Linked DNA regions of Mus musculus: regions 1, 3 and 4 are each reported to be linked to region 2. The links are microRNA targets in miRTarBase. Many come from high-throughput screens and were not tested one by one. Region 2 holds a microRNA gene; each other region holds the end of a gene's coding sequence.
The links. The annotated mature microRNA mmu-miR-466q reads GUGCACACACACACAUACGU and lies in region 2 at 3,564-3,583, shown strand. An mRNA with a match to its seed (bases 2 to 7 or 8) in the 3' UTR can be bound and repressed. Matches are read on the target gene's strand: a 7mer-m8 pairs with bases 2 to 8, a 7mer-A1 pairs with bases 2 to 7 and ends in A, and an 8mer does both.

Region 1 (7,108 bases), not on the chromosome of region 2:
CTGAGCCAGCCAGCCAACCAGGCCTACGGGGCATCCCACTCCCTGTGCTTGTGTTTCTCCAAGACAGGGTTTCTCTGTGTAGCCCAAGCTGGCCTGTGATCCACTCTGTGGAACAGGCTGGCCTTGAACTCAAGAAATCCACCTGCCTGTCTTCTGCTGGGATTAAAGGCGTGGGCTGCCACCACCACCTGGTGCCCTTTCCCCTTGAGTAGCCCTGGAACTTGGTTAAAAGATTAAATGAAGATTAAAATGGCCTTGAAGTCTGCTTTATCCCCTTTGTTAAGTTTTAAATCACACTATAAAACATCTCAATTTTCTTGCATGAATTCTCAGCTCAATGTCTTGTCTATCATTAGTTGCTTTCAGAGAGTGGTCTGGCTTTGAAGTGCTAAGTAACTTAGTTAATTAAATGAAGAGATACTTCTTGAAATCTTGTATCATTTAATTTTAATGACTAACAAATTTTGAGCTAATTTTTTCATCAGTAGCTACCTATAGACTAAGGAAGACTATAGACATGAGCTTAGAGGTATGGTTTGAATCTGAGCTTCATAGCTGCTTCCTCTCATCTGGGAATTAGCATCTCTCTTATAAACCAACTGTGTTTCATTCAAGTGGCTTTTGTATAGGGGCTGGAACACTCTAAGCACTGAGGATATTAACAGTTTGTCAGTGTCCCTCGGTAACCCAGTAGATACACATAATCAGTGGTCAGTCCCTTGTCACTGGAGTCATAGAGCCCAGTCTTGTGATGCCCTGTCACTGGATGGGTAACAGGCTGATACAATGTAACTATGGGAGATAATAAAAACAATTGATTCTCAGAGTCCTGGCATCCATGTCTGATGCCTCACATTTCAAGGGACTCCATACCGTCTCTCATTTCAGAGAGTGGGAGCATGGGTGCACACGTGAGCGCACATAATAAAAATGCTCCTTTAATTTCTTTAGAGGTCATTTCTTGGGAGGGGGTCATGCTGTTGCAGGAGTCAGCTGCCGCTTCATATAGGTCCTAGTGATCAAGTTTGGGTCATCAGGCTTGGCAAAGACCACCCTTCACCTACTGAGCCATCTCAATGTGTTTTCCCTCTAATGAGTGATTTGAAAATTGAAATCTTAACCCACCACTACTCCAAGCTGAGTCTCACATGCGCTTCTACTTAAGTACAGGTTTGGAATCTACCTTATCCATGACTGGGTGCTCAATGGCCTTCAGGTACACTAAAAATGTTTCCTTAGATTCCATTCACAAACCCTACGTCATGGCCACCAGTTCGGCAGTCTGGTGAGATGGAACGCAACGAGAATTACTTAATTACTCATTCTGTTTATTGAATCGACAGAAAGGGGATACAAAGGACTGGGCAAGTGCTGTGCACTGACATGGAAAAAGTGGAATTAAAATAAAATTTAAAAATCCCAGTAAAGCAAATCAAAGTTACTGTAATTTCAATAAAACAAAAAAAATTAAAGACATTTAATATACCACACATTTATAAAATAAATGTCAACCAAAAAGTGTCTTGTAAATAATTAGTAGAACAAGTGAAAATAAATATGAGACCTGAAGTTTTTATACTTTAATGAAATAATAAAACAAAGAAATTTAAACTACTAAACATAATCTGAGAGGCAAATAAAAAAGCAAACCCCATTAAGAACACAATCGTCTGGAAACATCAGTCCATAGTTAACTGTTACTCCATACCAAGAGCTCTGTGTTAGCTACATCACACCACAATGCCCTATCCCTTTCCATAGCTCAGAAACCTCCAGAGCAACACCCAGCGTCTTTACATGATCTCTACAGCTTGGTTTATAAGCACATACATGCTTTCGGGATCTCCCTCAGGAAAACACACACACACACACACACACACACACACACACACACACACACACACACATACACTCTCTCTCTCTCTCTCTCTCTCTCTCTCTCTCTCTCTGCCAATAACATTTACCCTCACTGAGCCTACAAATGTTATTTAATTCTAGCATGTTGATCCTGATAATGTAAATGTCTAAGTTAAAGATGGGACACAGTTTTAAGTTTTATAAAAATAGACAAGTATTAACCAAGCCTTAAACTCAAGAGAGGGTACTTTACATGTGCACAAGACATTCAGTAAAAATGACAACCTAAAAGTTGTTTCTAGAATATTTTAGGAATCAAGTTCTTTCTCAAACACTCAAACACACACACACACACACACACACACACACACACACACACACACAAAACACACACACACACACTCTTTTAACTTCATTAAATCCAGGCAATCTGGATTAAGTAGATAGGGGATGGGCTTTTACAGCTTGTTTTTGCAACTCTAGGGCAGCGACTATAACAATAACTCAACACTGCAAAGTTTAGGTTAATTTCACCCTGTTTTTAGAAAGTGTCTAAGTGTAAATGCAAATTCACCCTTTAAGTTAGCAGTTTATGTGAAATCAGGTATGGTTTTGGAAATGGTGGGAATGCTTTGGCCAGCAACACAAAGGGAGAGTTGGTGATGTCTAAATGAGACATCAAAGTAAAATTAAGTAAAAATATATTTTTTTAAAATGGGAACAACTAAGACAATGTATCTCCTCTCCTCCCATTCTTCTGCTGTAAAGTAAACGACATAGGCATTGCCCCCGTTCAAGAGATGTGCAAGACGTGTACCCAAGGGAGGCAGAGGGTCAGTTCTTGTTTGCAGGAACCAACATCCTAGAAAAGAAAATTTCAAGATGGGGAGGGGTGGGAAAGGATTTTCTATTAATGCCACAGGACGCCCCTTAAGGCAGACTGCTCCTCATCAACTGCTCTTGCGGAATTACTGCTTCTGTTTGCCTAGCAGGTCCACTTAATTACTTATAGTCGGAGAATTCTAGTTTTTGTTCTCCTACCCAATAAAATGAGCCAATTTAAGGGGACATTTGCAAGTAAAATGCCCTGTTTTTACTACTTACCTGGGTTACCAGGACATTTAACTGGCCAGGAAGAGCAATGCCACACAGCTGGCACGAATACTAATGGAATTCAAACCCCAAGTGTGAAGCTTCGTCATCTCCCCTAACTCCCATGCTAATTCTTTTGATCACCACCCACAAACCAACCTCAGTGACCCCCCCCCCAAATCCAACACTTTACCACTAATAACCAGTTAATTTAGAGGAAAAAGACATTTAATTCCATTCTTACTCTAGCCCTTAATCGATGCATTAACAACAGAAACATTTTAAGCACATGGAATTGAGCCTACTAACCTGATTTTTGGAGCCAAAATTCTCCACTATTTTGATCTATGTGCAAAAAGTATTGGTACTTTTCAGTTTATACATTGGTTAGCATCTTGTGGCAGGCTTGACAGAATTCTCTTAAGCCTTTATCGAGTTTATCACAATGTCAGAGATTTTCACGTAATCCTGTCACCAGGTTCTTCCACCATAAACCCTAGCTTTCTTCACCTTTCTACCACACTCACTTCATGGCAAATATACGAAACAGATGCTTACAGCAAATTGGCACAGTCAAGTACCAGTCTAGAGAGGGAGCGGCCAGTTAAGACAGACTTGGAAACCGAACTCACCTAGCTACTATCAACACCTTTGCATAGTTGTAACTCCACTCTAACAGGAGTTATGTTCTGGTCATGGCCCTCACCTTCGGGGCACGCTCTTACCTCCCAGTGTTTTTAAATGTACTTCAGAAGCAGTGAACAGGCGGGTCTAGGTGCAGCTGGATACAAAACTGCCCTGATGGGTACAGCCCTCAGGGAGCATCATGCACATGCCACGTGGTACACTGTAACCACATCTGTAAACAGCTGTGGAGTTCTGTGCCCACATGGTGTTAGGGATTGTTACTGTAGACTGAGGTGTATGGATTAATGGCTTCAGGGTATATCAATCAAAAGATGGTCTTAACTGCACTGAGGTAAAGAGGAGTTGCCACTTAATTATATACAGTTATGAATGAAAATTTTTATTCAAGCTTAAAGTGAAAAGTAATTTTAGTCAAGAAAATGAAGTACCAGATAAACGGTAACATATTATTTTAACTAAGAAGTATCAAAACAGGATTTCTCTGATTTTCTAAAGTGATGGTCTCTGAAAAATGAAGCTTAAAGGAATCTTTTCCATTACCCATTTGAATTACTAATCTGCTGACTCCGATCTGTCACCTCCTTACGATGGGTGGACTTTGGGAGAATGACCACTGCCTTCCTGGCTTTTCCCTCCCTGCGACCCCCACAATGGGAAGACCCCTCAGTACAAGCCTCTCTCTTCTCTCAGGATCCCGAGGGGCATATGATCATGGTGAATGCTATGGACTTGGCTTGGCCTCAAGGGCAAGTTGTACCAGATTTTTGTTGTTGTTGTTCATCAGGATACATTGGAGTTAATTCCACTTTTCCTTCCAAGAGCTGTGGTCACCCTGGTTATCTCCTATTGGAAAACATGGATTTCAAGGGAGACTGGTTAGACCCAGCAATTATGGAGTTGAAAACACCATGAACATCAATCAGGCTTATGTTAGATATAGGGTCTTCAAAATGACAAGTCACTTTTTTTCCATAAAGGAAACATTCCCGTAAACTAAAAGGGGAGGGAGAGGGAAAGACTGTCCACAGCACCAGTTTGAATGAGGTTCATTATGGCAACATCTGAGAAGCTGAGAAGGAATCTTCTTTAAATGAGTGTCCCTATATGTTGGACATTAAGGGCAATTAGGAGAAATGACTCAGGCTTTAATTCCAGTTTACATAAATGTTTGTAGCCTGCTGACTTCCTCTAAGATTTAACTACACTATAAATTCCCAAAGTAGGTCTATCTTCTGATGTCTACTTCTGCTAGATCACATCAAAACGATTCCCTCAAGTTCAGAGAACTTGGAACAAGCTTTCTTGAAAACCTAGACTGATGCTGATCTTCTGTACTGGTTTATTTATAAAATTTTCCTTTTGAATCTTGAATTTCTTCAGTATCAGGTACTGATGTCCCTTCAGGAATAAAATAAAAAGGGGAAAGTATCTCTCTGGCTTTCCTGTGCCGTGTCCTTCTGAACACTGTTTCTGACCATGCCATGTCTCACGTGGCACTCCAGAAGAGCATCAGTTACACTGCATATCTCAGTCACAGAGGACACTGTTTTTAAGCTGGTTTAGATTCCAAATGTATACAAATGAAGTCACTTTAATCCTATAAATACTTCTTAATTTATTTTTAAAAAATTGTGCTGTTAACCCTTTTACGGGGCAACAACTATGTGAAAAGTACAAAACTTTTTGTCAAATGTAATATTGAGAGTGCTTTTGACATAGTTCACTGGTTTATCATCTGATCAGCATATACTGCGCAACGGGCAAGGCTAGAATCCATGAACCAAGCTGCAAAGATCTCACGCTAAATAAGGCGGAAAGATTTGGAGAAACGAAAGGAAATTCTTTCCTGTCCAATGTATACTCTTCAGACTAATGACCTCTTCCTATCAAGCCTTCTAAACTGTTAAATAAAGTTTCCAAACAAGCATTTGAACTTCATTACACAGAAGAGCAACAAGAATGGTGTCCCACCAGACAAAAGGCAGGAGGGAAAAAATATATATACTGAGTTCAATGGGTAAGCCTGAATGTAGCACAGTTCTTCACAACCGATGGGGAATAATTCAACATGGTGTCCAACAACGTTCTAGACGCGCTTCATCAACTGGTTACTAGGAAGCAAGGTGTAAATGTTTGGCCCCAATCGGGCTTCAAAATGGTTCTTTTTTTTTTTTTTTCATGACGAGCATGTCTGTCCAGCTATCAATCATGTTTGTTTGCACCAAATCCCAAGCCATTAAAATACGACTAATTTTAAGTTAAACAGAAGTCGTCTGCTCCAAATTTGCCATCAACTATCCATGCTACTGCATTCCTCTGAATGAAGACCGGATGAAATGTGCAGGGAAAAAGAGAGAAAAAGATACCAGTTAGAAAGTTTCAAAATCAGCATCAAGAACAGTAGACTTAAGTAACAATGAACAAATTATTGATACTTTCATAACCACTGAACAACAGTTGTCTCTCCCAGTTTCTAGGTGATACATTAAATTGTAACCTTGTGACTATGCTGAATAAGGGACAAAGGGAATGAGTAATTAGAATTTCCCATTTCTACATTGTCACTGGGGGGAAGGGGTCGGGTTGAGACAGAGTCTCTCTGTGTAGCTTTGACTGTCCTGGCACTCACTAGGTAGACCAGGATTGTCTTGAACTTCAAGAGATCTACCTGCCTCTGCCTCCTGAGTGCTAGGGATTAAAGGCATGCATAATTATGCCCGATTTCCTATTTTTAAGATTAAGCTTGAAATAGATAATTAGAATAAGAAGATTTTTGCTAGTTTATAACAAAAAGGATGGAAAGAAAACTCTGGTAGTATGAGGGAGGCAGAGCTGCACATTCCAACTGTGTCCTCAACTCCTTCAGCTGCTCCAAGTCGACCATACCATGCAGCTCCATTTGGGAAAAGTGTACGTATGACGTTTCTTTTTTTGTTTTTGTTTTTCGAGACAGGGTTTCTCTGTGTAGCCCTGGCTGTCCTGGAACTTACTTTGTAGACCAGGCTGGCCTTGAACTCAGAAATCCGCCTGCCTCTGCCTCCCGAGTGTGGGATTAAAGGCGTGCGCCACCACGCCCGGCACGCATGCCGTTTCTTACAGTACAGTTCCCATAGAGTAAGATAAGCTCCTCTAGAATATCACGATTCAGAGTACTCACAGCTGGTGTAGCACCAGTCTACACCTTTAGACCAGCTTCTCAATCTAGGAGCAAGCACACAGTCTCATAAAAATAAGAACCACTCCTCTGGTCTGGGGATTAGTCAATTTTATACTACTTCAATATAAAATGCAATCACACCACGTGCTATGTCTGGTATATTTTTGTTTCTAGTATGTTCCATTCAGCCTATTGATTTCTAGGTTAGTGCCCCTTCTTCTGTTCATAGCATGATTAACTACTTCATCCTATTCCATTTTATATCCCCTAAGTACACAAACAAAAATCAGAAGTCACCAGTTTTGTAACTTAACACAAAAGATCAGCAACTTCTCTTTTAAGAAAAAAAAAAGT
Region 2 (7,124 bases):
GAGAGAGAGTGTGTGTGTGTGTTGTGTGTGTGTGTCCGTGTGTGTGGCACACTGATGTGTGTCTATATGCATGTGTATATTGCAGGAGAATGATAGAGGTTGGTGTTGGGGGTCATCTTCCATAGCTCAGTTCCACTGAGGCAGGATCTCTGCATCAAACCTGAAGCTCGCTGATTTGAGCACTCTATCTAGCTTACTCTGGGAATCTCCACTTTCCTGGGCTGGAATGACAGCTGGATTGCCATGTGCATTTATGTGTGTTCTGGAATCCTAGTTCTGGTCCTCACACTTGCCTAACTAGTGCTTGAGTTACCCAGGCATCTCTCCAGCGTCTACATCCCATTTTATACATGTCAAACTGTACCCATTTAACTCTTCGGTGGTTCACTAAGCAAATCTCAGGAGACACAAATGGAACAAAAGCACCGGCTTGGAGCTTCCAAGGGAGCAATAGAGGATGGGTGGATTGAGTGGTGAATTATACTCATGTGTTTGTGCATGTGTGTGTGTGTGGGGGGGCACAGGCACACATATAAGTTATTTGCACATGTGTGGTGGTCATAAGTTGACCATATGTCTTCACCCACCTGTTTCTACTTCCTTAGCAGTGGTTTTACAAAAACATATCACCTGACTTAGGCTTTTTTTTTAAATGTGAAAATTAGTACATTTAGTAGTTATATTTTAGAAAATTTAAAATACATAATGAATCGGGGGGGGGGGACCCTTGTTAAAAGAAGACAGCTGACACAAAATGTGAGAAGCACTCTGTTCAGTAGTCTGCTGTGAATACTTACCAAGGAGAGGGCAGTTCACAATGAGCATGTGCAGAGTGGCTTGAGCAGGTGACTGTTACTGTCACTGCAGTTGTCAGGGATCTGTCAAGCAGCTGTTCGGGTCATCAAGTTTACCATGCTCCTGAGACAACCTCTGTCTTTCCTCTGTGTGTGTATCTATGTGTAGATGTGTACTGGCACACACAAACCTTTGTCTTTGTGCGTAGGAGACCTGAAGTATCTTCCTGGACAGTTCTCTGTTTGCTGAGGCATTTCTCAATGAAATCTAACACTTGCCCATCCACTAATCCAGTTAGACAGCTTGCCCTGGGAATCCCTGTCTGGGCCTCTCTAGAGCTGGGATTACAAGTGGCCACGATGCCTACCAAGCTGTTGTGTAGATTTGAAGGTCTGCACACCGATCCTTATGCATAAATGCTTTATCTACTGAGCTATCTTATCAGGCTGACAGTGAAATTATTAAAACCATATGTTACATAGAGTCCAGTCATTTCCATTTTTATGAATTATCCATGTTATATATTAATAATTTTGGAACAAGTAGGACAATTACAAAAAGATCTTGTAGTTGGAAATTATACTGCCCAGAGTTAATTTTTTGAGGCTCATCATTTTGATGCATCACCTTCTAGACTTTTCAAAAATTCCAGTTTGGTCATAACAGATATACAATGATATGCCTACCATTATTTGACCTGGAGTTATGTTTAGGCATAGAAATGCATGTCGGTGTCGCAGACCCTGCCCTTCCTCAACAGCCCAGAGTGCAGAAGTTTGACTTGGACCCATGAATGTCCCATGGATATATATATATATATATATATATATATATATATATATATATATAAGCATTTCAAAAAAATTACCCTCTTTTTGAGATTATAATATAATTACATCATTATCCCCTTCCTCCCTCCAAACCCTCCCACAATGCCTTGTGCTCTTTCAAACTCATCGCCTCTTTTATCATTATTTATTGTTACACACATACACACATATTAGGAATGTATGTATGTATGTAGGTAGGTAGGTATATCTCTAAAAACATAAATACAACCTATTCAGTTAGAAACTATATCCATAACATCTAAACATGAGCTGAACAAGGGCAACACTAGACATGCTGAAGTAGGCAGTGGAAAGCCCTCCATCCTACACAAAGACCTACAAAATGCGGAGAACAGGAGAAATTGCTTATCCAATACCAAATGGACAGCCCTGGAAATATACATACAAGGGACATTATACACAGCTTGGCTTTTGCATATCAGAATGGTGTACAGGGGAGCTGGTCTCGAGACAAAGCAATGTTAACTGTAGATTCTGCTCTCTAATTTCTTTTAAGAGTGTATCATTTGTCACAGTGCTCTGCCAACTGCTAACTGCAGTATCGTTTGTTCTGTTGGTCCACTAAGAATGCCTGTTGAAAACACACAAGTGCTGCAAAACAGCGCCAGAAGAAGCCTTCACAACTCTGATTTCTGGGTCAACTGGTATTGGAACATGCTTCCTCGGGTGAGGGTTCTTAAGAAAAAAGATTGCTGGAAAGCGGGCACCAGAGTAGACAGAGACAGGCATGGGATGGGCTCCAGCTTCAGTTTTCTCTTTCAGTCTTGAACAAAGTACCGACCTCTTCTGAGCATCAGTATCTTCATCGAGAAGCCATGGGCAGCATGCATGCTTCTCATCTGATTAGAGAGTTGAGATGGAGATACATAGGGTGCTCCTGTGTGCAGCAGGACTCACTCATGACCTCGTTTCCTCTTCCCTTGTTTTTTACGAAGTCTGCAGAGAAGTGCCAGTGCCCAGATTAGTCAGTGAACGATGATAATGGCATGCTAATATTTATCCAGTGAAGCACTTTGCACAGAACTATTTGTATCATGTTTGTATAATTAGAGGAAACGCTTCTCATCATACATTATGATGTGAACTTTCCTTCCTAGGCTCCCGGTAATTAGATTTGGGTGAGGAAAAATTCCCCGAGTTGTAAAAATATACAAAAACTTTTCTCGAGTTTGCTTTGTGTTTTATATTTGTGACTAGAGTTTGCCATTTCTCTTTTTATTAGGTGCTCACCACAAGTATGTTAATGAGTGGAAGTAGTGGGTGAAAACTGGCGTTTGAGAGCCATGTTAGGTTTAAGCTGACATGAAATTCATATTTGGAGAAACAGAGTAGGATCCGAAGTGACTAGGTAGTATAAATGCTTCAGAAAGCCTCGGTATATTCCTTGAAGAAAATAGACAATTGGATACTTTTTGCTCTGGGCTGTGAAAACCCTTCTGAAGAATGTGGCATCTGGATTCTACTCAGCTGAGTCCACATGGGTATACTACTAGTAGACTTTACTACTATCTGGGGGGTAAGGTGGGGTTTGCAATAGGTGCAAATAAAACTTTATTGAAGTATTAAATGTATATATCACAAGAGAGTGCTTAACAGTGGGGTGGAGCAAAAAAAAAAGAGCTGAGAAATTTTCATGCAGAAAACTGAAGGAATTTAGTGAAATTCTTTATTTTTAACTCCTTCCCATGCTTGAAACAGGGGTCTCTAGTCTAGCCTGGTCTTGAACTCAGTCCTCCTGTCTTAACATCCTGGGTGTTGAGATTACAGGCAGTCACTACCATATTTATCTAAAGTCTACCTTAGGAAGACCCCTCTACTCCTGAAACAGTTTTAAAAATCTCCTTTATATTCTTATTACCTTCTCTTTAGTGTGTGTGTGTGTGTGTGTGTGTGTGTGTGTATGTGTGTGTAGTATATGTGCACACACACACATACGTACCCATGCATGCCATATCTCATCTCTGGAGATAATAGGACAACTCGTAGGAGTCAATTTTCTCCTTTACCCAGTAGTGCCCAGAGACTGATCTCAGGTTGTCAGGCTTGGCAGCAAGCACCCTTACCCTCTGAGCTGCCTTATAGGTGTGCTTTATATTCTTAATACTACTGAAGAGTGCAAGAACCGTATGTTTGGATGGATTGTCTACCAGCATTTATTATAGTGCCAATAAATGTGATTTCATTAAATACAATAAGGACTTTTTAAAGCACAATATTACTAATGCATAACACAATGTCCATTAGCCGCAGTGATGACATCATCTTGTGGCATGCAGCCTCTGGGAAACTCCACTGTACAACTGTGGGGCAAGAGCGAAAATAGCATTTGATGTCATTGTATTAATATATAAAAAGGGCTCCAGAGACTCAGAGGACCTCGGGCATCTCTGAGGACAATTGTAGTGGCTTGTAGTCACTAGAGAGGTCACGCTGATCTGTCCTTCCGTAACCCATCACTCCATTCCAGGATGAATGACATTATTCACAGGGTTAGAAATGAAGAAGGCAGAATTTCACAAGTGGCTCGTGGCCGAGATTTGGTACTGCAGGAGCACAAGAAGAACTACAACAACAGAAGCATTTCATTTGCCATCACTGTGTATCTTTGCATAAGTATTTTTTGCACAAGTTAGGTTAGATCTACATCAAATGAAAAGAGTGGATGTATTTTAGTCAAACTGTGTTAGGAACTTCTGGCCTATAATAGCAGCCAAACATGGGATGTGTGTGCAACCTCCAAACTGGGAAACACTTAAGAGGTGTTTCCTTGAGCTCCTGGCTTGCTTGGCTAGGGCAAATATGACGAGGAGCCTACCAGGTGCTCTGCTCAGAGCTGCAATGGGGAAAACCCCATCCAAACGACAGCAGAGCACACTCAGCTAGTAACAGCTAGCTCTCATTAGCCCCTCACCCGATACAATTAACAGAAAAGAATGAAAGACAGAATAAGCTTAGGAAACAGGTAAAGGGTGGTTTAAGTATGGTCTTAATTCTTTTGAGACAACCATCCCTCCTCTCTCTCTCTCTCTCTCCTCTCCCTTTTTTCCCTTTAATGTGATGTATTTATTTTTATTTCATGTGTATGGCTGTTTTACCTGCATACATGTCTGTGCATCATTTGTGTGCTAGGTGACTGTGGGTGGGAGTCAGTCTCAGTCTATCTAGATTTACAGATGGGCTGAGCTATCATACTGGTGCTAGGAACCAGATTAGTGTCTTCTGTAGGAACAGTGTGTGCTTTTAATTCTGAGCCATCCTGCTAGCCCCACAAGTGCCCCCTTTAAAGCAAACATCTGAGAGTGGCCACAGATCCTTTGAATATTTTCCCTAAATTCACACTGGAGGAGCCACCTTAAAACACAAAGTCTCCTGCCAAGTCTCTCCTCTGGATTGGCCCTGCTGGATTGGTCTAGTCAGTTCCCATCACCATTGGCTAAGACATCTGGCCACTAGGACGCAGAGCACACAAACATTGTCTTTGCAAAAGCTCAGTCAGCGTTGCTGGGACGCACCTTCACCCTGACCACCAGGAGCTTATTTCCCCCATTGATTTGTCTTTCCAGTTTCCTGTGGCTTTAGATCTTTTCTTTTACTCTTTAATGAAAATCCACACGAATGAGACCTTTTGCTTCTAAAATGCTAAGTTGTTGTTATTGTTTTTTGGGGGGTTGCGTGGGGGGATTTTCATTGTTTAGAATTTGTCCTGATGCTCAAGAGATTCACTGTTGGTCACCCAAATGAAAGGCTGTCGCTTCGGTGGTCTAGAACTCGTTTTTTTGTTTTACTTGCCTCTCACACTTGCAGATCTGTGATCTTGAAGCCAGAGAAAGAATTCCACACAGATTCCCAAACATAACATTCTTTCTGACAGGCAAATAATTCCTCAGGTTTTCAGCTGTTGCTGTCTGCCTTGTGTGGCTTTTGCTTTCTGATGTGGTCGAGCTATGCCTTTATGGTATGGAGAAAGGATGGCAGCTGAATAGTGTGTGCTATGTAGCCAGTCATTATGTTAACGATGCGTGCTTTAGCTAACTGTGCTCCCTCTGCTGGGAATCTACTATTTGTTAGTGTCATCTTGGGTCTCTTTCTCAACTAGAGCTTGCTCATGGCTCCCTCCATCCTTCTTAGCCTCATCATCTGGACTCCGACATTCTCACTGTCAAGTGGTCTTGCCATTGGCATCTGTAAACCTAACAGCAGACATTTCCCTGATATTACGTAATTCTTTTCTATCTGGGATTATGTCACATTCCTGAAGACATCCCAGGCAGAACACCTTGTTTCCATCTATTCACATCTCACCTCCATCTCCCTCTAGAGTTTGATCCCACATGGTGCAGCTTGCCCCAGCCCCCTGTTAGGGCAGTCATCACCCAGTGATGGGCTTCCTGCCCAGCTGTCTGTATATACCCACCACACACTGGAAAGCTCTTCCTTGCCATAATCTGTCTTCCTAACTCCCCATCATCTGCAAAGGAAGGTGTTGCCCTTTTTCTGAGGAAGTAGGCCAGGAGTGGTACCTTTCTTATGTCATCAGGAAGCTCAGGTTAAACCATGTAGGTACTTACCCATACACAAGAGCTTTCAGAATGATTTCTTACAACGTGAAATTGTGTTCTTGACAAACTGGAGATATCAGGAGGAAAATGTGTGAGACGAAAAATGTGTGCCCAGGTCTAAGCTGTACATTTGGAGGTTATATCCAGTAATGCCATGCATCCTTAAGGGTGAGCATTTAGTTATGTAACATGGATATTTTGAAATGTTATATACCCTTTATGTATTTTATAAATTGAGAAAAAGAAGAATTTGCACTTTTGCTTATGAAGATCAGTGTACACTGATATCAGATACTTGAATATCTTATATATTTCTGTGTATTTTACAATGTCAAATGACAGTTATGACAAGCAGCCACCCCCTAGATAATTTGCATAAGTGGTTGGTACCAATGTCATGTATGGGGTTCACATAGAATCTTGAATTTGGGGGTGAAGGTCAGAAATTACTGCACACTGTTAAAGCAAGGTGGTTGGCCATTTCCCCTGTCAAAGTTCTCCCAGCATAACTACCTATTTATTTTGCAATTGAGCAATAAAAATGAGGGAAGTTATTTTTATCTTGCTTAGCTTTAATAGAAATATGACCTTTGAGTCACATGATACAAAGTTAATTTTCTTTGACTTTATGAATTTTGTATTTGTTGGTGTCAGCACCTCTGCTTTTGTTACGTTTTATTTCCATGTCTTTATAATCTATAAAGGAGAAGGAGCACTTCGTAGCATGAATCAGATTTTGCAAAGTAGACACAACTGGAAAGAATGTTTGATAACATAAGGACCAGGTGTACTGGCTAGTTTTGTGTCAACTTGCCACAGCTGGAGTTATCACAGAGAAAGGAGCTTCAGTTGAGGAAGTGCCTACATGAGATCCAGCTGTAAGGCATTTTCTCAATTAGTGATCAAGGGGGAAAGGCCC
Region 3 (7,124 bases), not on the chromosome of region 2:
CCCATCTCAGAGAAAAAGACAGACACTACCTCACAATGAAAGGCTGGAAAAAAATTTTCCAAGCAAATGGTCTGAAGAAAGAAGCTGGAGTAGACATTCTAATATCTAATAAAATCGACTTCCAACCCAAAGTTATCAAAAAAGACAAGGAGGGGCATTTCATACTCATCAAACGTAAAATCCTCCAAGAGGAACTCTCAATTCTGAATATCTATGCTCCAAATGCAAGGGCAGCCACATTCATTAAAGAAACTTTAGTAAAGCTCAAAGCACACATTGCACCTCACACAATAATAGTGGGAGTCTTCAACACCCCACCTTCATCACTGGGGTAGACAATGCTGCCCACTTTCTCCATACCTATTCAATATAGTATTTGAAGTCCTACTCAGAGCAATTCGACAACCAAAGGTGATCAAGGGGATACAATTTGGAAAGAAAAAGTCAAAATATCACTTTTTGCAGATGATATGATAGTGTATATATAACTGACCCTAAAAATTCTACCAGAGAACTCCTTAACCTGATAAACAGTTTCAGTTAAGTATCTGGATATAAAATTAACTCAAACAAGTCAATGGCCTTTCTGTACACAAAGGATAAACAGGCTGAGAAAGAAATTAAGGAAAGAACACCCTTCCCAATAGTCACAAATAATATAAAATACCTTGGCGTGACTCTAACTAAGGAAGTGAAAGATCTGTATGATAAGAACTTCAAGTCTCTGAAGAAAGAAATTAAAGGAGATCTCAGAAGATGGAAAGATCTCCCATGCTCATGGATGGGCAGGATCAATATAGTAAAAATGGCTATTTGCCAAAAGCAATCTACAGATTCAATGCAATCCCCATCAAAATTCCAACACAATTCTTCAATGAATTAGAAAGGGCAATCTGCAAATTCATCTGGAATAACAAAAAACCTAGGATGGCAAAAACTCTTCTCAATAATAAAAGAACCTCTGGTGGAATCACCATGCCTAACCTGTACTACAGAGCAATTGTGATAAAAAAAAAAAAAACTGCATAGCAACAGACAAGTAGACCAATGGAATAGAACTGAAGACCCAGAAATGAACCCACACACGTATGGTCACTTGATCTTTGACAAGGGAGCTAAAACCATTTAGGGAAAAAAAAGACAGCATTTTCAACAAATGGTGCTGGCAAAACTGATGGTTATCATGTAGAAGAATTCGAATTGATCCATTCCTATCTCCTTGTACTAAGGTCAAATCTAAGTGGATCAAGGATATCCACATAAAACCAGAGACAGTAAATTTATAGAGGAGAAAGTGGGGAAAAGCCTTGAAGATATGGGCACAGAGGAAAAATTCCTGAATAGAACAGTAATGGCTTGTGCTGTAAGATCGAGAATTTACAAATGGGACCTCAAAAAATTGCAAAGCTTCTGTAAGGCAAAAGACACTGTCAATAAGACAAAAAGGCCACCAACAGATTGGAAAGGATCTTTACCTATCCTAAGTCAGATAGGGGACTAATATCCAATATATATAAAGAATTCAAGATGGTGAACTCCAGAAAAATCAAATAACCCCATTAAAAATGGGGCACAGAGCTAAACAAAGAATTCTTACCTGAGGAATACTGAATGGCTGAGAAGCACCTGAAAACATGTTCAGCACCCTTAATCATCAGGGAAATGCAAATCAAAGCAACTCTGAGATTCCACTTCACACCAGTCAGAATGTCGAAGATCAAAAATTCAGGTGCTGGCGAGGATGTGGAGAAAGAGGAACACTCCTCCATTGTTGGTGGGATTGCAAGCTTGTACAGCTACTCTGGAAATCAGTCTTGTGGTTCCTCAGAAACTGAGCATAGAACTACCAGAGGATTCCACAATACCTCTTTTGGGCATATATCCAGAAGATGTTCCAACCGGTAATAAGGACACATGCTCCACTATGTTCATAGCAGTCTTATTTATAATAGCCAGAAGCTGGAAAGAGCCCAGATGCCCCTCAACAGAGGAATGGATACAGAAAATGTGGTACATTTACAAAATGGAGTACTACTCAGCTATTAAAAAGAATGAATTCATGAAATTCCTAGGCAAATGGATCTGGAGGTCCATTTGCCTGGAGGTCACCATCCTGTGTGAGGTAACCCAATCACAAAAGAACTCACCTGATATGTACTCACTGATAAGTGGATATTTGCCCAGAAACTTAGAATACCCGAGATAAAAGATTCCATTTCCAAAACACATGAAACTCAAGAAGAACGAAGACCAAAGTGTGGACACTTTGCCCCTTCTTAGAAATGGGAACAAAACACCCATGGAAGGAGTTACAGAGACAAAGTTTGGAGCTGAGATGAAAGGATGGACCATCTAGAGACTGCCATACCCGGGGATCCATCCCATAATCAGCCTCCAAATGCTGAAACCATTGCATACACTAGCAAGATTTTGCTGAAAGGACCCAGATATAGCTGTCTCTTGTGAGGCTATACTGGGGCCTAGCAAACACAGAAGTGAATGCTCACAGTCAGCTATTGGATGGATCACAGGGCCCCCAGTGGAGGAGCTAGAGAAAGTACCCAAGGTGCTAAGGGGGTCTGCAACCCTGTAGGTGGAACAACAGTAAGAACTAACCAATACCTCCTAGAGCTGGTGTCTCTAGCTGCATTATGTATCAGAAGATGCCCTAGTCAGCCATCATTGGAAAGAGAGGCCCATTGGTCTTGCAAACTTTATATGTCTCAGTACAGGGGAAATCCAGGGCCAAGAAGTAGGAGTGGATGGGTAGGGGAGTGGGGGTGGGTGGGTGTGGGGGACTTTTGGGATAGCATTGGAAATGTAAATGAAGAAAATACCTACTTAAAAAAAAGAAAAAGTCAAGTAATCATTTGAACACATGCATGCACTCATTTGCATGTATACACAGGAACACACATAGGTGCATGTACACACCCACATAGTACACAGACACACAGGCACAAGCACATACATATAAATACATATGTAATGAGACTGAAACTATGAGTCTCATTAACCATCTATCTAAATATTTGTTCATGATTGTCTGCTTTTCATCAAACAAAGCAAAATATGTAAGTTTATATATTCTGTGAGTATTTATTGCTGAAGGCTCAATGTCACAGAAGGTTAGTACTACATAAACCTGTATGTTTGTCTGTGTTTTGTTATAAGAGATTCAGTTAAAAAAATGTGTGAGTAACAAAAAATTTCTTTCTCCCCTGTACCTACATCCACTTGGAAGCAGATCTTCTATTGATAAGAGCCTTCCTCATCAGAGGCTGTGGTCTGCTTCAATGGAACCTTGAGTGCTGGGTACAGACCAAAGTTTCTTATTGAAAGATTAAACACAGTATGAGACTCCACCTCTAGCCAGTGGAGAGTAGCAATAATGGTGAGGGAGCTGTGCTTCACTCTTGACCCTGGCATTTCTATTCACAAGTTATTTATATTTTAAAAACTTGGTGTTTGTCTTATTTCCAAAATAAGTATATGGTTTTCATAAGCATGGTGTCTGAGTAAGTTAGATAATGGATGTGGTGGTATTGTCAAATTGACAGTCTTGAATCATCTTGGAAGGGACTCTCAATGAGGAATTGCCTATGGACAATTGCCTATGGGCCAGACTAGCCTATGAACATTTTTATGATAGATTATTTTAATTATGTTTATTAATGAGGGCAGACCCAGACTACTGTAGGTGGCACCATTCTCTGGGTTTGGGTCCTAGACTGTATGACTAGAGAAAGCAAGCTGAATAGGACCCATGCATGCACGCATGTCTCTCTGCTCTTCCTATGATGAGCTGACTCCAGTTCCTACAGTATTGACTTTTCTGCTGTAATGGACTATGACCTGGAATTGTGAACTAAAATAAACCTAACACCCCATAAGTTGCGCTCTGTTTTTGAAACAGCAACAGAAATGAAACTTTGGTAGAAAATGGGTGTGAGAGGCTGGCACAAGGTACATGCTCAGTAATCCTTTCTCCCAAACGTGTGATGTCTCATTCCAATTTAGGTTCTAGCAGTTTCATCCATAGGCCTAGAAGATGAGCTAGTTTCTTGTTCCTGTGTCTAAACACCAGACAAGAAGCAGCTTCAGGGAGGAAGGATTAATTTTAGCTCACGGCTTGAGGAGTATAATTCCATCATGGCAAGAATACCATGCTATGTTGTTGGATCCATCACATCATATTTGACCAAGAAACAAGGAACACTAATAAGGACAGACCAATGAACTCTGTGCTCTGCTTTCCAGTGATTCACTTCCTCCAGCAAGATCAGTGCTTGCAAATATCACAGGGAATTGGATGTGGGAGTTTGTCTGTAAATTGCTCAGAAATGGCACAAAATTGTGCTGTCAAGGAACCAAAGAATTACAGTGTTTGGGACTTTGACACAACTGTAATAAAAGCGTTCTTATTGAGTAGTAACTTTTAGGTACAATTTAAAAAGTCATAATAAATAAGTTTTGAGGATTCATATTAGTTACAAAAGAAGACAAACATGTAGTATGTGCGTATGCACACACAGACTTACATAAACGTGCATGCACATATATACATATGTATGAGAACATGCACACACACACACACACACACACACACACACACACACTGGATAGCCCTGGTACTATTCACATTTTGATACTAATTCCGCTTCCCCAGGAGGGGCTGCCTGGGATGAGGAGTGAATCACTACTCCGGTGACTTCTTGTGAGCCTTCCCCTAATGAATAAAGATTTCAAGGAACCAGTCACTGGGCATGTAGGTGGGATTTCTGGATCAGAGAAAGGGATGGCAGAAGAGGAGAGGGTCTTGGTTTGGGGGACAGCAGAGGAGCATGGAGGCCAAAATGTAGAAAGCAGAGCCTCTCAGGTCAGGTGGAAAATATGTTGGGATCTGCTACCTGAGAATTAACTTAGAATGGCTTACAAATTAGAATGCTAGTTGCTGCACCCAACAATTGTGTTAACTGTTGGTTCTAAACTAAGTTTGGGTGGTGTTTTCCTTCATGTGGTGCTCAACTGGGTTCCAGAGAGAAAGGTACAGAGGCAAAGCGTGGGTTTGTAAGAAGTGTACTCCCAAAATCTTGGGAACCTGGAAGTATGGGGCTGGTGTGGTAACAACCAGCCATGGGAACTTAGTGAGCCAGTTGGACAGATTTAGGACCTCCAGATCAGCGAGTCTGCCAAGATGAGAACAGGCAGGTCTGCCCACCAATGCAATGCAGGTGGTAGCATGAATTGCTTTTTAATATTCCATGCTACACGCTACACACACACACACACACACACACACACACACACACACACACACACCATGTTCCCATGTTCCCATGTTCCCTATCCAGGAAAACCATTTTCATTGTTAAGTGTTTTTAAACAGGTGTGGCAGAAAATTGAACACAGGTATAGGCTTATTTTGTTTTGATTTTTAGACATGGTCTCATGTAGCCCAGAGAATCTTACCATGTAGCCAAGGTGGACCTTAAGTTCCAGACCTTTCTCTAACTGCCAAGTGCTGATCTAACAGAAGTTTGCTACCACACAAGGCTCTAAAGCAAGTTGGACCAGGCAGTATCAATTATTTTGAGTACCTAGATGGTGGTTACAGCACACTCTAAATGATTTTCTTCTATATTCTAGGGTAGGAAGTCCCTGGTGAAACGAGATGCTGCAACTCACTTTGTCAGGGAACAACAGGAGCACAGGGAACAGCTTAAACATACCCTAGGCCATCTGAGGCCCATTACCGAGCAGACAGGAGGGGCATTCACACCAGCACAAGAGTTACCCTCCCCCTACCCAAGAAAGCTATCCAGAAAACAAGCTCCAAGGAAATGAGCAGGCTGTTCAGCATTATCAGCAATTGTTAGCCTCAGCAATGCAATTTAATCACCCAAAAAGTTGATATTAGGACTCTAAATGATCCAAGTTATCAGTTAACATACTTTTTATCATTGACACTTAAAAAAATAAGTCAGAAAATAATATGGCTTCAAGTGGAGAAATAAATATGCACTTCTGAGGGGCTCTGCTCTATCTGCGGCTTTCCTCCAGCTTTGGCTCTAACGACAGTCTCTCCCCGAGTTTTCTAATGAGCTCTGCTAGGTCTTCTGTGTTCTGTGATTTCTCTTCAAGGAGTTCATAACGGAGACTTGAGATGTCTTGCTTAATTTCCTTCAATTCCCCTGTGAAGAGGAAGAATAAAAAGAAGTTAACTATAAATAACAGATGAAGTTTTCTATGAATATGAAGTGTGAACCAATGATTCCAGGTTAGAATAAAGACAATCCTGACCATATTCAGAATCTTTTCAAAGGAAAAGCTTCCCAATCAGAAAAAAACCTTTCTATTTTACTCAGGGAAGAAAATTAATTACAGCAAAATTTTAGTTATCTGGAGACTTGGAGAGTTGTGGTAGCACAGCTCGCCTTTCCCAGACACCTCCAACAAGACCCCATAAAAATTACAATGTTTCATCTAGACCATGCAGTCTCTGGACAAAGAGCTTCTGCCCTACCGTTTTGTACCTTTGATGGATGTGATCACAGCAAATATTGATTATTACTTGACAAGATCTAGGATCTTTTGGAGACTGACTAGCATCTGGACTAGTAAGGGATTTATGTCTAAGTGCCATGGGAAGATTCATCTAACCTGTGGGCTGCGCCAGACTCTTGGCAAGAGTTCTAATGGGACAAAAGAGAGCGTGAGCCCAACACAGCCACTCATTTTGTTCTGCAGACATAGTATAAGAGCTGCCTCCCGTCCCTCCCATCAGCACAGTGGGCTGTCCACTTTCACTCTACTTCTCCAACATGGTGGACTGTCCCCTTAAACAGTGAAACAGAATAAATCCTCTTTTCCTTTCATTGCTTTGTAGGGCAGGCTGCTTCAGCAGTGGGAAAAGCTACTAACACAGTCAGAGAGAGCTTATTCTCTATGGCTTCCTGAGGCTCATCTACTGCATGCCCAGCTCTCCCTCTCTCTCTCTTACCGCCACATCTGCACACAGCCTTAACTCATACTGGAAAGCTTTTTCCTTATGGTCAACTCACCTTCATTCACCTCATCGCTCTCCTTATCAATCTGGGCCTGCAATACATATCTTTTAATGA
Region 4 (7,100 bases), not on the chromosome of region 2:
CAACTAGAAAAGGAAGTCAGGTTGGCATGAAGACTGCTGAAGGCCTTAAGAGGCTTTCCCTGTAATGGCCACCCCTGATGGAACAGAGCACTTAACTCCAAACTGTATTACAAGGTGGGCATGGTGCCACTCAGGAGTCTATGCAGGAGAACTGAGAACTCAGGGACAGGCTGGACTACATAGGGAAGCCCCGACTCTCAAGTACAGCAACTTCTGTTACAAAGGCAAGGTTCATGTGAACTCCATAAAGGCCTCATCCTTTTCAGGAAGGGGGCTTTTCCAGACAGGGTCTTGTAGGCTCTCATGCCCTTTAACTCAGTAATTTTCTTGCCTTAACCTCCCAAGAAGCCACAAATATCAAAAGAACAGTATTTTTTTTCCCAGTACTAGGAATTGAATCTAGCACCTCATGCTGAGCAAATGATCCACCAGCGTGCTATCCTCACCCCAAGTTAAACAGTCTTTTTTTTTAATTCTCATAACAGACCTGGTAAAGAAAATTGGCAATTGCCAGCCATGAAGCCCAGATGTCTTTGAATATGAAAGCTATGCTCCGATGGCAGCTGGACACCTACCAGTTTAAAACATGTTTGTTAAAACAATCCACAGGAAAAAGCCAAGGCTTAAAAGAACACAAAACAAGGACAAATAATGACTGGGCTGAGGAGAGATTGGGGAAGTCCTAGATGACTCAGCCCGGTGTACCCTGCTATATATAGTAGGCCTCCTCCAACATATCCCAGGAGGAGAAGCAACTGCCACGGACGGGAATCATAGTAAGAGATTCTGACCTCAGGAGATAGGAAATGCTTCAGTCACTGCCCTAGTGTGCTTACTATTGCTGTGATAAACACTGTGACCAAAAGCCACCTAAGGAGGAAAGGGTTTACTATACTGTTAAAGAAACACAAGCGCACGCATGCGCGCGCGCGCACACACACACACACACACACACACACACACACACACCACACACACACACACACACACACACACCACACACACACACCACACACACACACACACACACCACACACACACACACACACACACACACACACACACCACACACACCACACACACCACACACACACACACACACACACACACACACACACACACACACACTGATTAAGTAGAAACCACACCCAAACACCTGTTTTCACAGAGAAACCCTCTATTAATCGAGGAAGAAAAGTTAATGTCGCTGCTTTCTACCCCAGGCAGAAAAACAGCAACAAACGACCTTGCAGGTGTAGTTTTTAAGAAGAGAAAAAGGGGAGGTCTGCGTTCGAATGGGCTAGGATTCAGTGGTGTATCTTGATTGGGCATGTCAATTAGGTGAGCCAAAGAGGGGCTTTTGATTGCTGGACTCCAATACTTTGACAGCTGGGCTTTGCTCGGCAGTCTCAGGAGGAGGAAGTGACCAAATAAAGGCATATACCTTGGTGACTAGCTTTAGGGATGTAATCTAACAGCTTTTAGCAAGGCAGAGGTGATGCAAAAGAAGGTCAAGGTCTGCCAGAGCCATGTTTGCCAGGCCCAAGCTGGCTAGAGTACCTTCAATTATAGCTTGCAGGTCACCATATTAAACAACCCAGGACTAATTACCCAGAGGTGACATTGCCCACGCTAAGATAGGTCCTCCCACATCAATCATTAATCAAGAAAGTGACCCCACTGACCTGCCTGGAGGTCAATCTCAATTAAGGTTCTCTCTTTCCAGAAGATTCTACCTGGGTCAGGTTGACAGAAAACTAACCACTGCTGTCAGTTACGTTGTCTAAAAAGAGAGTTGATGGGAGGAAGATAGTGAGCTCCTGGACTCCGGGCTTTCTCAAACACAGACCAGATAAAAATAGACAAGACTGAGCAAGACACTCTAGTGGACACAATGACCTTGAGGGGTCTTCAGGACTGGGGTTATGAGTCCTCTACTTACAAGAAAGAAAAGCCCAAAGGATTTCCTGTATTTACTCAGGGGAGAAATTCCTCACCATGAGCGCATGTATTCTTTATTGCTGTAGAAGAAATATCCCATCAGAAAACAGGCTCGGTCACCTTACTTATTATCTTTATATGCTCTATGATCTGTCTGACGTCTCTCGTAGGCTCTGTGGCAAGATGAAAAATGTTCTCTCTGGCTTACTCGGCAGTTAGATTGCTTAAGGACATTAATGAATCTAGCAGTAGAGTTCACCAATCTTTCTTGAACTTCGCTATTTCAGCTGAATCATGCTGCATCAGCAAATACATCTCCATTTCTGGCCTAAAGATCTGAGAGCCAACCTCTGAAATTTAGTGGTCCATCGGTGTGTGTCCACCTGCTTACAGCAGCTGTGTCTGTCTGTGCTGCACTGTGGGGCAGCTGGTGCTCGGCCTGTGCCTCTCTGCCTTTGCATCTATAACCTCATTAGCAATTACTGTAACTGTGACAATTGAGAACATAATGTAACCAAGTGGCCTATTAAGAAACAGAGCTAATTTTGTTTTCATTTGATTCAATTATTTGCTACTGTAGACCAATTAGGAAAAAATGAAAACTAACATTCTACCTTCTTGGAAGTTCGCCAAGTCTTTGGGTTTCTAGAAATTTCTGGAAATTAAGAACCTAGACCTTTTGGGTACAAAATATTCTTCTAAGGCCTTCCTTTTGTTTTGAGTTAAAAGAGAGAAGTCAGGTGGATTCCTAGGGATTTGAAAAGTCGAGGCTTTATTTTTCCTGTCCCTGTGAGTGGCAGATTTCTGAAAGTAAAGGCAGCAACCTGGTGTGGTGTGGTGTGGTGTGGTGTGGTGTGGTGTGGTGTGGTGTGGTGTGAATGCTAAGGTTTGGGAGCCTGCAGGAGGAGCCTCCAATTTCCCCCTGTGCCCCAGACCAACAAAGTCAAGTGAATCAACTGTTCCCTTTCTGGAAAGTCAAACCAAGCTGACAGAGTTGTGGAATGTTGGATGAAGCAGCAGCTAGGACACTGGTACCCCAATAGTGACACCATGTGGTCAGAAGGAGCACCAGCAGCACAAAAACAATGAGTGGAACTTCCTCCAGTGCAGTTGTCAGTCTGGCAGAGTGGGGTGAGGTAGCAACCACAACCACGACCAGGTCATAGAGCATTGAGGACTGAGCAAGTAGTGCTCTGGACCCTGAAACAGGTGTGCCTTGCTGAGTTTTCTAGGAGATGAGATTTAGATCACGTAGCTCAACACGACAACATAGTTTCAGTACAATGAGAGCTCTTGGGGCTGGACCCTGAGCCCACATGCTTGTGTTTTCATGCAGTTCATAAGCATAGCTTGAAGGGAATTTCTGTATAAAACATTTGGTGCAACAGCATTCCCATAGTGACCTGTCACATGAGGTGAGGTGTGATCTCCCACTTGTGACATCATTTCAGTGCTCGGAGTTTTTAACCAGAGACCGTCTTGCGTGAGGACACCCAGCAAGAGACAGAAGGAACCAACTCACAAGAGGTCTTCAGGGACAGTGGGAAGCTTTAGCTCTATTGTGAAGGTGATAAGAGACAATAAGGGGGTGAATCGGGAGACTGGCAGGATATGGCAGGCAGTCTAACCCTGGTCCCGTGAAAGACTGCCTAAAAGGGCTACAGATAAGAATGTGAACGGGGAGTCAAGTCCATGATCATTGCTTCCTTGTGTGAGGGAGCGACAGAATCGTTTATCCAACCAGAAAGCTTAACTTTAATTCTGAATCATACTCAGCAGGGCCTGCCACATAGTAGGCACTCAATAGATGACTGTTGGTTTTGAATGGAGCTTATTCAAAAGCTATAAAAGAATATAGGAGCTGGAGAGATGGTTCAGCAGTTAAGGACATCCATTGCTCTTGCAGAGGACCTGGGTTCAGTTCCTAGCTCACAACTATCTGTCACTCAGTTCCAGAAGTCCCAGTGCTCTCTTCTGGCTTCTGTGGGCATTAGGCATACATGTGGTGCACATACATACATGCAGGCAGAACACAGAAAATAAACCTAAAAAGAATGTTTTAAATTAGAAAATAAAGGGCCAAGGATGGCCCCAGGGGTAGGAATGTGTGTGTGCATAAACCTGGTGATCCGAGTTCAGTTCCCACAGCGGGAAAAGAGAGCAACCAGGAAAAGTTGTCCTATAACCTCCACACATATGCAGAGATACAATGCTTCTGTTTGTTTGTTTAATATGATAAAAAACAAACTTCCAGAGTCACTGGGCAACTTCTGTCCCTTAAGTGACATAAGAGAGCAGGTTGTCTCCCAATCACATGCACGTCTTCTGTGTGTGCCATCTGGCCCAGAAGTACCCACTGGTGTCTCAGCCATTCCTCAGATCTAGTCACAGCACCCATAGCAGCTCCACCAGATGTGTGGGCCAGCTGCTATCTGTACACCCGTAGTAAGACATCATGAGCAACCAGCTGTGCTTCTGCCCTACCTGGCCAAGGAGTGAGAAGCTTGGCCGACTTCAAGCAGCTGGGCTTACACGCAGACCCCTTTCCTAAGAAGGTAGTAGCTAATCCATCACACACACACACACACACACACACACACACACACCGTGCCCACTGGTATTTATGATGACTGCGCTTGTGCTGGATATGGGAGTGCCCACATAAATGGTGGTGAACATCAAACATTCCAGAATATTTGAAAGTCCATGAGACTGACATGACATGTCCCCTCAACGGGGAATTAACACTGCAGTTTCTCTATTATGCATCAAGTGGGAAATTAATTCTGCATGCTATACTAACTACTGAGAAGATTGGTTTTTAAATTTTTAAAATGGGTGCCGGCTTTTGGCCTGAAATGAGGCAGATTGTGGCAGCAGGCATAGCATCCATCTGTCTGCTTTCTCCAACTAAGTCTAACCTCCTTCTTTTCTCTGTCTCCCAATAAGACTGACATACTATGGATAAATCAAGGGCATACTCCATTGATTAGATCACAAGCCATTCTAACACACACACACACACATACACACACACAGAAAGCTAGCAAGCTCCCAACAATGAGCCTTCAGGGAACCTTTCAGATTCAAACCCTAACAAGATCTAAAAAACATGGAGGTCCTATTTTTTTTTTATTTTATGCATTGACATGAAGACACAGTCAGTTCGTCACACTCATTGTGAGAGATGCTCGATTCTAGGAGGCCTGGATTCTCTCAACCTATCAGATTACTCATTTGGTTTTGAAAACAATGAGTGCTTTGTGTGCTTTGTTTTGTTTTGTTGGCAGAAGGAAAGTAGACCAAGGGCTGTTTTTGGATTGCTTTCTAAATGCACCCCAACCCAATGGTGTGAGCTGTCTGTGAGTGTCAGACACCAGAAGTAGGAAGAGTGCATTAGCTGACATTAACTAGGGCGTTTTCTTCAAAGAACTGCATACTGCCCCGCCCCAGGCCGGGCCCCAAAGTTGTACTTATGTGTCCCCAAGAGGAATGTATTTAAGCAGTAAGTGGCCAATATTTCTCCGTGCCAATGGAGGACCCAGGATTCGGTGAAAAGTGAGAACGTTTGTCATTCAGCCCATTCCTTCCCCAAGCCATGCGCATTGTCGCTCGCCCTTTCTCATTGAGTCTGGGTTAGAGAAAATTGCTTTTATTGGTGGTGAACCTAAATTAGGCTGAAAGCTCCTCTGTCAGAGGACACAGGGTTCAGACTGGAAAGCCAGGAAGGAAGCTTTGGAGCTGGGCAGTGGATGCAGGATTCTCTCCTTATTTGGATGTAAGTGCTGCACTCTATAAGTACTTATTTTGGGACAAGGCTTAAGCACCGAATGGGACAGGCAGCCCCAGGGATCAGGCTGCGCTCTCTATTTGAAGCACGGGTTTCTCAGGATCTTCCTTGGTAGGTTGAGGAGGTTCTGGCTCCAGGGCAGTCTCGAGCTCGGACTCCATTTCAGGCTGAGCTGCAGGCTGGCCTTCTGATGGGCCTTCAGAGCTCCGGACAGGCCCTACGCGTGGCGGCTTGACTGGTGTGGGCTGTGCTGCTTTACGACTGGAAAGAGCCCTTTTCAGGCTTTGAACTTTCTGTAAACCAGTGCGGCGCAGCCGCTGAGCCCTGGACTCCACTGGCTCCTCTTCAGAACTCTCTCCAACTTCATCCTCTGGCTGATCTGGGCCCAGCACCAACTGGTCCTCCGGACCCAAGAGCTCTGGGACTTTCTGGAAGGCGCGGGCTGGAATTTCAGTCTCCTCCTAAATGTGATGACACAGCTTTTGATTCTCTGATTTGACCCTGGCACTTAGCCAGGACCAGCCTGAAACTCTCTTGCCCGCCCGCCAAGGGAAGCTACTCCACCCTTTGCATCTGCACTAGGAATTGGGGCCAAAATAGAGGAATGGGAAGATGGGGGATGGGGAGGATGGAGGAGCAGAGAGATGAGCAAAGAGGGGGAAAGTGGACCTTGCAAGTTTGCAAAGTGGATGAAACCGTGTAGAGTGTAACAGCTGTATAGGCGCTTGGAGGAGGCAGAGTAACACCTAACAGTTAGTTCCATGTGGGTGCGACTGACCAAATCCGCAGACTGGCCTGAGTTAGGGAGGGCGTGGGTTGGCCAGGCTGGGAGTGAGAAAGGGATAAGGTCGCTGTTGTGAGAAAGTGGGTGCGGCTCTGAGAGTCTTCCACAAGTGAGGGCAGCACGCTGGGTCAGGAATGTGGAGATGCGGACGGGTGGGTGGCAGGAGTCCTTCCCTCGGTGGTAACCTAGAGGCGAGGGTTGGGGGCGGGAGAGGGATGCCTGAGGTCACTGACCTTGAAGAGCAGGACGTGCAGCTTCCCGCGCGCCACCAGCAGCCCGTGGTTGGCCTCCAACCGCTGCACCTGAGCAGCGCGACGCACGGCCCGCTCCTGGGCTGCGTCGGCGTGCGAGCCCACGCGCTCCGCCTTGGCCAGCAGCTGCGTCAGTGTGTTGCTGGTGGTGTCGTGGCTGCGACTCAGCGCACCCAGGCCACTCTGTATGCGACGCACGGAGCCCGCCAGGCCGCCCTGCCTCTCAGCCAGGCCGCCTTGCCGCTCCCGCAGAGCCTCCAGCATGGTGGCCAATTTCTCCAGCAAGGTCACCACGGTGACTGCGTGCACCGGACCCCCTGCGGGCGTCTCAGGC

Region 1: the mRNA of Wdr26 is a reported target of mmu-miR-466q. The part of its 3' UTR that is shown has no 7-base or 8-base seed match.
Region 3: miRTarBase lists Trpc6 as a target of mmu-miR-466q. The part of its 3' UTR that is shown has no 7-base or 8-base seed match.
Region 4: miRTarBase lists Cavin3 as a target of mmu-miR-466q. The part of its 3' UTR that is shown has no 7-base or 8-base seed match.

The regions. Positions count from the first base shown.
Region 1 is chr1:181,171,919-181,179,026 of GRCm38, forward strand. Wdr26 (WD repeat domain 26) reads right to left here. Exons shown (of 14, transcript NM_145514.5): 14 at 1,308-5,913. The coding sequence ends at 5,888. Among named protein-coding and RNA genes, the nearest start is that of Cnih4, 25 kb to the left of the region's middle.
Region 2 is chr3:28,416,425-28,423,548 of GRCm38, forward strand. Mir466q (microRNA 466q) reads left to right here and starts at 3,519; the gene lies at 3,519-3,594. All of the region lies in intron 2 of Tnik (TRAF2 and NCK interacting kinase), which reads left to right.
Region 3 is chr9:8,679,484-8,686,607 of GRCm38, reverse strand. Trpc6 (transient receptor potential cation channel, subfamily C, member 6) reads right to left here. Exons shown (of 13, transcript NM_013838.2): 12 at 7,065-7,124; 13 at 5,867-6,194. The coding sequence ends at 6,043. The region is part of intron 4 of Gm32014 (predicted gene, 32014); the gene reads left to right. Among named protein-coding and RNA genes, the nearest start is that of Gm32014, 58 kb to the left of the region's middle.
Region 4 is chr7:105,475,028-105,482,127 of GRCm38, forward strand. It overlaps Cavin3 (caveolae associated 3), which reads right to left. Exons shown (of 2, transcript NM_028444.1): 1 at 6,749-7,100; 2 at 5,589-6,192. The coding sequence ends at 5,794. Among named protein-coding and RNA genes, the nearest start is that of Cavin3, 3.6 kb to the right of the region's middle.